Linked DNA regions of Oryza sativa Japonica Group. The protein of the gene in region 2 interacts with the protein of the main gene of each other region in a pairwise test. Links are inferred from orthologs where the notes say so. Each region holds a gene or a part of one and is shown on either strand. Other genes may lie near its edges.

Region 1 (3,758 bases), on a different chromosome or scaffold from region 2:
ATTTCTTCACCTGAACAGCTCTATCATGCAACATGTTTTCATGCTTTTAAAAGGCACAATACCTTGATCTGAACAAGATACAAATTCATTCTTTTGATGAATATACATTGAGCAACATACTGTTCTTTCCTTGTGTACCATGCCTAATGTTTTTAAATTGCAGAAAATCTATCTAAACAGATCTAGCCTGTCCTCTGCCCAGCAAGAATGATCTAGTAGCCTTCAACTTCTTCAATTAACAGACTAATAGCAACACATCATAAATGCCAATTAAGGATAGTACTTCTTTGATGTCATGTGACAACTACTACCACATCTTCTGAATGATAGAGTGCCTTCTTAATTATCCATCATACTCAAGCCCACATCTTGCGATGATCATACTGATAGTACACATGACCCAGCTAATACTCCAGTACCAACCCCTACTTTGACTAAATAATAGTAATAGTACAACATGATCATACACCCAATTCTCTTACCCATGGATTACTTCAGATAAGAGGTTGCTAAAATGCTAAATAGAACAGTAAGTAGACTAAATGGTTCATCCTTCATTTCTGGAGTAATCCAAGTCTATTACACATGTAATTAAGCAGCTACTACTACAACACTTGCTTCCACCAATCAACTACTCCAGCTAAGGAAGAGGCGATCCGTGCATTGCGTATCCTGTCACGGTCGGCCACCGCGCGGCACGAGGTAGACCCGGGCTCGCACCACGGCGCCATTGCCCAGCCGGAAGCCGGGCGCCACGGCGAACCCGACGACCATGCCGGCGGCGCCGCCGCCGCGCCCGCCGGCGACGCTCTCCATGTAATCCGGGTGGAACTCGGCGCCGCGGCCGGCCTCGAAGTGGCTGGGCGGCGTCTCGAGCGCGAACGCCAGCAGGTGCAGCATCCACACCGCCTTCGCGGCGCGCAGGAACTCCCCGTAGAATGGCGTCCGCGGGTGCGCGCCGCCCTCCACCGCCCTCCGGTGCTCGCCGTCGCCGAGGACGGCCTGCTCCACGCGCGGCGGGAGGAGCGCCGCGAACTTGCTCGCGGCGTAGCGGCCGAAGGGGCAGGTCGGGAGGAGGCCCAGGAGCTCGGCGGGCTCCATGCCCCGCATGTCGCGGAACTGCGTGTACCGCTCCCGCCGGAACGCGGCGGGGTCGAGCAGCGAGGAGAGGGAGCCGTCGAGGTAGAAGGATTCGTGCTCGAAGCCGACGAGGAGGACGCGGGTGACGTGCGCCTCGAGCGCGTGCTTGGCCAGCTGCGGCGAGGACACCGGGATCTTGGTGAGGGACCGGGTCGCCGCCGCGAGGTCAAGCCCCGCCGCGCGCATCAGCTGGAGGAGGTGCCCCGCGAACGCCCGGATCGCGGCGCGGGCCTGCTCGGCGCAGGCGGCGAACAGCTCCGCGGTCGGGGCGCCGCCGCCGCCGCCGGAGGCATTGTGCTTGGAGGGGTGGTGGCGTGAGTTGCGGCGGTTGCTCGCGACGGCGAGCTTCTCCTTGAGGCCATCGACCTCGGCCTGCTTGGCTTGGAGCTGGCGGCGGAGGTCGTCGAGCGCGGCCTCGTACGGCGCGACGGCCTCGCGGAGCGGCGGCGCGGTGGGGATGGGGCCGGGGATGTGCCCCCCCGTGGCGACGGAGCGGCGGAAGCGGTCGCGGAGCCGCGCGAGGTGGCGGAGCTTGGCGACGACGGCGGCGTCGGCGCTCCGCATCTTGTCGGGGTCCCAGGGGCAGTGTGCCCCCTGGAGGTCAGAGTACGCGCGGCGCACGCCGGAGACCGCGTCGAACACCTCCGCCATGAGCGTCTCCGCCTCCCTCGCCCGCTCAGCCCCACTCGCCGCCACCGCCGCCGCCGCCTTCACCTTCCTCTTCTCCTCCCAGATCTTCAGATTCTCCTCATCCTCCTCCTCCCCACCCTCACCACCATCCTCCCCCTCATCATCAGCCTCCGCCTCCGCCTCCGCCTCCTCGGAAGAAGAGGGAGTGCGCCGCCGCTCGCCACCGGCCCCCGAGATGGCGTCAGCGAAGGGGTCGTCGTCGTCGTCGTCGTCGAAGTCGGTGTCGCCGGAGTCGCTGACCGCGTAGCTGCCGGGGAGGCGGTTGGAGAGGCAGGAGGTGGCGACGCGGTGGATCAGATCGCCAATGGTGACAGCCTTGTTCGCCATTTCTTGATTGATGGGCAAACAGCCGCAGCAGCTGCGACTGTGCGAGACGAGACGAGTGACGAGGTGGGGCGTGTGTGAATTTAAGAGGAGGGGAGGCCAAGCCAAACACCCGAACAAAATGGGAGACAGATGCTCTGCGCAAACATGGAGGTCAGCCAGATGCAGACAAGGCAGTGAGCTGGGAAGCTCAGGCTCAATACTATTTAACCTCACCACCAATTCCCTCGGCTAAACAACCACCATTCAAACGATGCTAATGAGCCACTAATCTCCACTTTAAAACCAGCATTCTAGTACCAACACACATCAGCATAGGAGTAGTAGTGTACTCCCTCCGTTCTTAAAAAAAAAGAATCTAGGACTAGATGTGACATATTCCAGTATAACAAATCTAAACAGACGTATGTCTTTTTGTTGTACTAGAATGTGCCACTTTACTAGGTTGATTTTTTATGGGACGAATGGAATAGTGTGTTAGCAAGGGGCATTGCTTCGGTTTCCTTGATGCAAACTACTGCAGTAAATATGTAGGCTACACTGTAAGTTTGATCATATGTCTCCATGATCAAAGTGCGAGTCAACCGAAGTTTTATGTTACGAGCTGTGATAATGTGGTATGACTTTCTTTTCTTTAGTGTTATGGTAGCCCGGATTATGCGGCTGAGCATGTGATCAATGCATTCATCTACCAGACGCCTGCTTGGTCTGGGCAAGTGGATAGCTTAACCTCTTTTGACCTTTCCAACCGTGAAAAGCACTTGTTGTAATGTACTAATCGAGACCATTTGCTCTGCGAAACATGCAGACCAGCCAGATGCGAATGAATGTAGGTTTTCACCCAGTATGGTGATGATGGGCACCGGCAGATAGAGCACCGTACCAGCGAGGAAGGCCCCATAGATAAGGCGGAGCGTGATGAGACAATGGCGAGTAGCAACACCTAACGCCATAGGAGGAGAAGAAATAGATGGAGAGAGGGGTTAAAGTACAAAAATAGATTTCCTGATATTTTCGTTAAAATCTTTCCTTAGTTCCAACTAATTTTTTGAATTCAAATCCAAATACGTTCAGATATTTTCCAAAAAAAAAAAGCACACTAGTAGAAAATACAAATGATGTGCTGAATCATCTCTTTCTTCGACGGCCCGCTTTTCCTCTCTCCTTTTTCGGCCCTAGCGAACCAGCTGGCTCAGCCCATCTCTCCTTTCCTTCACCGGCACGGCCCTAGCGTGGCCTTTCATCTGTTTTTCTTTTTCTGCACGGGCCACATGCTCACATCTGGGCTGGAGTAACACAGGATGAGAAGAGAAGAGCGCCGGCGCATGGTGTACTTGTTGCTCTCGCGGTCTCGCCTCTTGCGATTGGAGCGTCACAAACAGCACATCTCTGGATCGTCATCCATGCCAATCAGATGGCAGCACCAACGAGTAGTAGATCCAATAGAATAATAAGAAGATGAGAGCCACGAACAACAACAAAAAGAATCGGAGAGAAACAATAGTATTTGATATTTACCATCTCTACTATTATAAAAATTAAAGATGTTTTTACCGGTATTTTGGTACGTCCTCCATATTTAAGTCGGTTTTTAAGTTCATTTG
Region 2 (2,778 bases):
CCCCGAGGGCGCCGCGGACCGCGGCCCCCGGCCGCCGCCGTCTCGGCTCCGCCCCTTCGGCCGCGGCGACCTGTGGCGCGGGCTCTTCCTGCGAGGGATCCATCACGTGGACGGCCGATCCATCGGTCGAGGGGCCGGCAAGCGGCGGGGTCGCCGGACTCCGGCGATGGGGAAGGTAGTGCACGTGGAGTCGGGTCGGACTCGGAGGGTGGGTGGGTGGAATTGGGCGCAAGCGGTTGTGGTTTTTCTTGGGCTAAGACAATTTGGGCCGCTCGTGTGGCCGTGTAGAGACCTTCAGCGCAGTAAACTAGTACAAATTTTACCGACGTGGCGTTTATTAGTGTGGCCCATGTACGGCCCACAGGAATTTATTTTTGTGTGGAGGATTGTACAGCTTGTTTGGCAACTTGGACTAAGGAGATCGGGAGGTTATAGGAGAGAATTGTTAGTGAGATTTAATATGAAAATTTGATTTTTAATCCCGCTATTTTGTTGGTAGATGTAGTGGAAAATGATAAGGAGTCCAAATGAAGATCAGATTTAAATGAAAACGAATGACTGACATTATGACATTTGTTTAGACAACGTAAAAGAGAATTCCTCTCAGATTTCATAGCTGAGTATAAAGGAACGGAGGGAGAAATCCGGTAAAGGATTTGACAAGCTTACGAATAAATTGAACCAACGAATATGAAGATTTGCGTTACAAGAAAAATTTAAGCAGCAACCAGGTGAGAACACATCACCACGTTATATATGTTGTCTACACAAAGAGGGACACAGCATCAAAGATACATTTCACTCCTATCCCTACCAACTTTCACTATTTTGTTTTACCTTGCACTGTAACAAGGATAACCGATCAGCAACTAACAGCGGTATCACCTCTCCCTAATCTATCTCCCTTTTTCTCTTGATCTGCTCGACTCATGCATAGATGCATGCCTTGTTACAGATACTGTGCTTGTATTCTGTCTCTGTTGTGCTCCCACCAAACCTTCGCCCTGTCCTCACCAAACCTCTCGCGGCTGCAGAAGCAGAGAATCAATTGAGTACGATTAAGCATGGATCAATCAGAAAGTAGTCCCTAGGCGAGTATATACATGAAATTCTGGTTAGATTTGAAAGATTTGTGTTGGTGACATGGTAAACCTAAGATGTTTTGGCTATCCGTGCGTGATTAGTGTATACCTGAACCGGATGCGGCGGAGCTCGCGGGTGCCGTCGCCGAGCTCGCGGATAGTGAGGCAGACGCCCGGCTCGTCCTGCTCGATCCACTCGGTCGCCTCCATGTCGCTCGCGTTGCTGATGGACACGGAGGCCTCGTCGCGGGACGAGGTGGTCCCCCGCGACGGGTCGTACAACGATGGGACGCCGCCGCCCGCCGCGGACGGGCCGGCCGCAGCGGAGTTGAGCATGTTGAAGTGGTGCGCCCACACGTGGTCGGACGGGTCGGGCACTGCCACCGATGGGTAGCACGCCGCTCTTGTGGAAGCCGCCGCCGCGGCGTAATTAGACGCCGAAGCCGCCATCGCCTTGCACGACATGCTCCTTGCGATCGGCTCTTTGGCCAGCGACGACGACGTCGCCGGCGTCACGACCGGACTCTCCCGGGTCGATCCGCCCCTGGAGCAGAACGATGATTCTCTCTGCATTCATGCACGGTCCAGATTTTTCAGTGAGTTGCATTATTGATCATGCAGATGAAAACAACGTGATGATTTCGAAGTAGCATAGAATGCCCGTGAAATCTTTGAAGGGCGTAGTACCGACCAGAATAGAGTCGTCGACGGAGGACGTGGGAGTGGACACGCCTTGCTGCCGGCCGCTGAACGTCTGCACGTTGTACAGCTCGACGATGCGGTCGTAGTTCTCGCCCCACCAACGCTGCGCCTCCCACTTGTTAAAAATCTCTCGGCTACACACACCAATACGCACGTGCGTGAGAGTTAACTCTGGACAAATCGCTCGCACACAATACGTGCAGAGAATACAATCAACCGTGGAAATGGAGCAGATATGATCAGTGTCAGAACCTGAACCGGATGCGCTTGAGGTCGTTGCCACCGCCGGGGAGCGTGACGAAGGTGATCTGGACGCCGGGCTCCACCTGCGCCGTCCACTCCCTCGGCACGGCATCCTCCACGACGGTGACGTCGTCGGCGCCGGCCTCCTCCTCGATGCTCTGTATCCACGTCGTGCCGCCGGGGCTCCTGCCGGCATCCTGCTGCCACCCTCGGTTGCTCTTGCTCCTGGTCATGTCCCATGTCGCCATCGACGTCGACGCGGCCCGGACGGGCGGCGGCGGCGCCGCTCTCGTGTACATGTAGGCCTCACCTCCAGGCCTGGTCGTCGTCATGAACGCGGAGTCATCGATGAAGCCCGGGTACGGACGGCGGTAGCTCCTGCTCCTGAACGAAGGGCTACCGGCCGTCGCCGCCTTGTAGTGCTGATGCTTGTTGGAGCCGGAGAACTTGAGCACCATGTCCTTGAGCTGGAGACAACACATTGCATCGTAGGAGCCTAGTTAGCTACCACTCAGTCACGCGAGAGTCACTTCGCGAGTGTTATGTGCATCAGCTCTCACTGGAATTACTGGCATAAGTAGCTATCACATCGTATAATATCTGTGATACATTTACATGTGTCAATACTTAGCTTGCTTGGATCAAAAGTAAATAGTTTTTTAATCATGAACATCCATAAACATGTGTATCCATATGTGTGACCTTTAAATTAGGGAAGAGTACCGAGAATGATGCCTGCTGACCGATGACC

What was found.
Region 1: the proteins of putative protein Brevis radix-like 3 (region 2) and protein GRAVITROPIC IN THE LIGHT 1 interact in binary tests that used the Arabidopsis thaliana proteins (3 or more experiments, as listed by UniProt). The link is inferred for Oryza sativa Japonica Group from reciprocal best matches to the Arabidopsis thaliana genes BRX and GIL1.

The regions. Positions count from the first base shown.
Region 1 is NC_089037.1:35,647,889-35,651,646, forward strand, and holds protein GRAVITROPIC IN THE LIGHT 1, read right to left. Parts: upstream 2,211-3,758; 5' UTR 2,158-2,210; coding exon 676-2,157; 3' UTR 465-675; downstream 1-464. UniProt on the Arabidopsis thaliana protein: Required for red (R) and far red (FR) light-induced and phytochrome-mediated deregulation of negative gravitropism leading to randomization of hypocotyl growth orientation.
Region 2 is NC_089038.1:30,803,435-30,806,212, forward strand, and holds the end of putative protein Brevis radix-like 3, read right to left. Parts: intron 2,628-2,778; exon of another isoform or gene 2,510-2,627; coding exon of another isoform or gene 2,495-2,509; coding exon 2,037-2,494; intron 1,919-2,036; coding exon 1,774-1,918; intron 1,650-1,773; coding exon 1,192-1,649; intron 1,029-1,191; coding exon 950-1,028; 3' UTR 649-949; downstream 1-648. Other genes in the region: uncharacterized protein, read right to left, coding at 1-103. UniProt on the Arabidopsis thaliana protein: Acts as a regulator of cell proliferation and elongation in the root and shoot. Regulates roots architecture and primary root protophloem differentiation.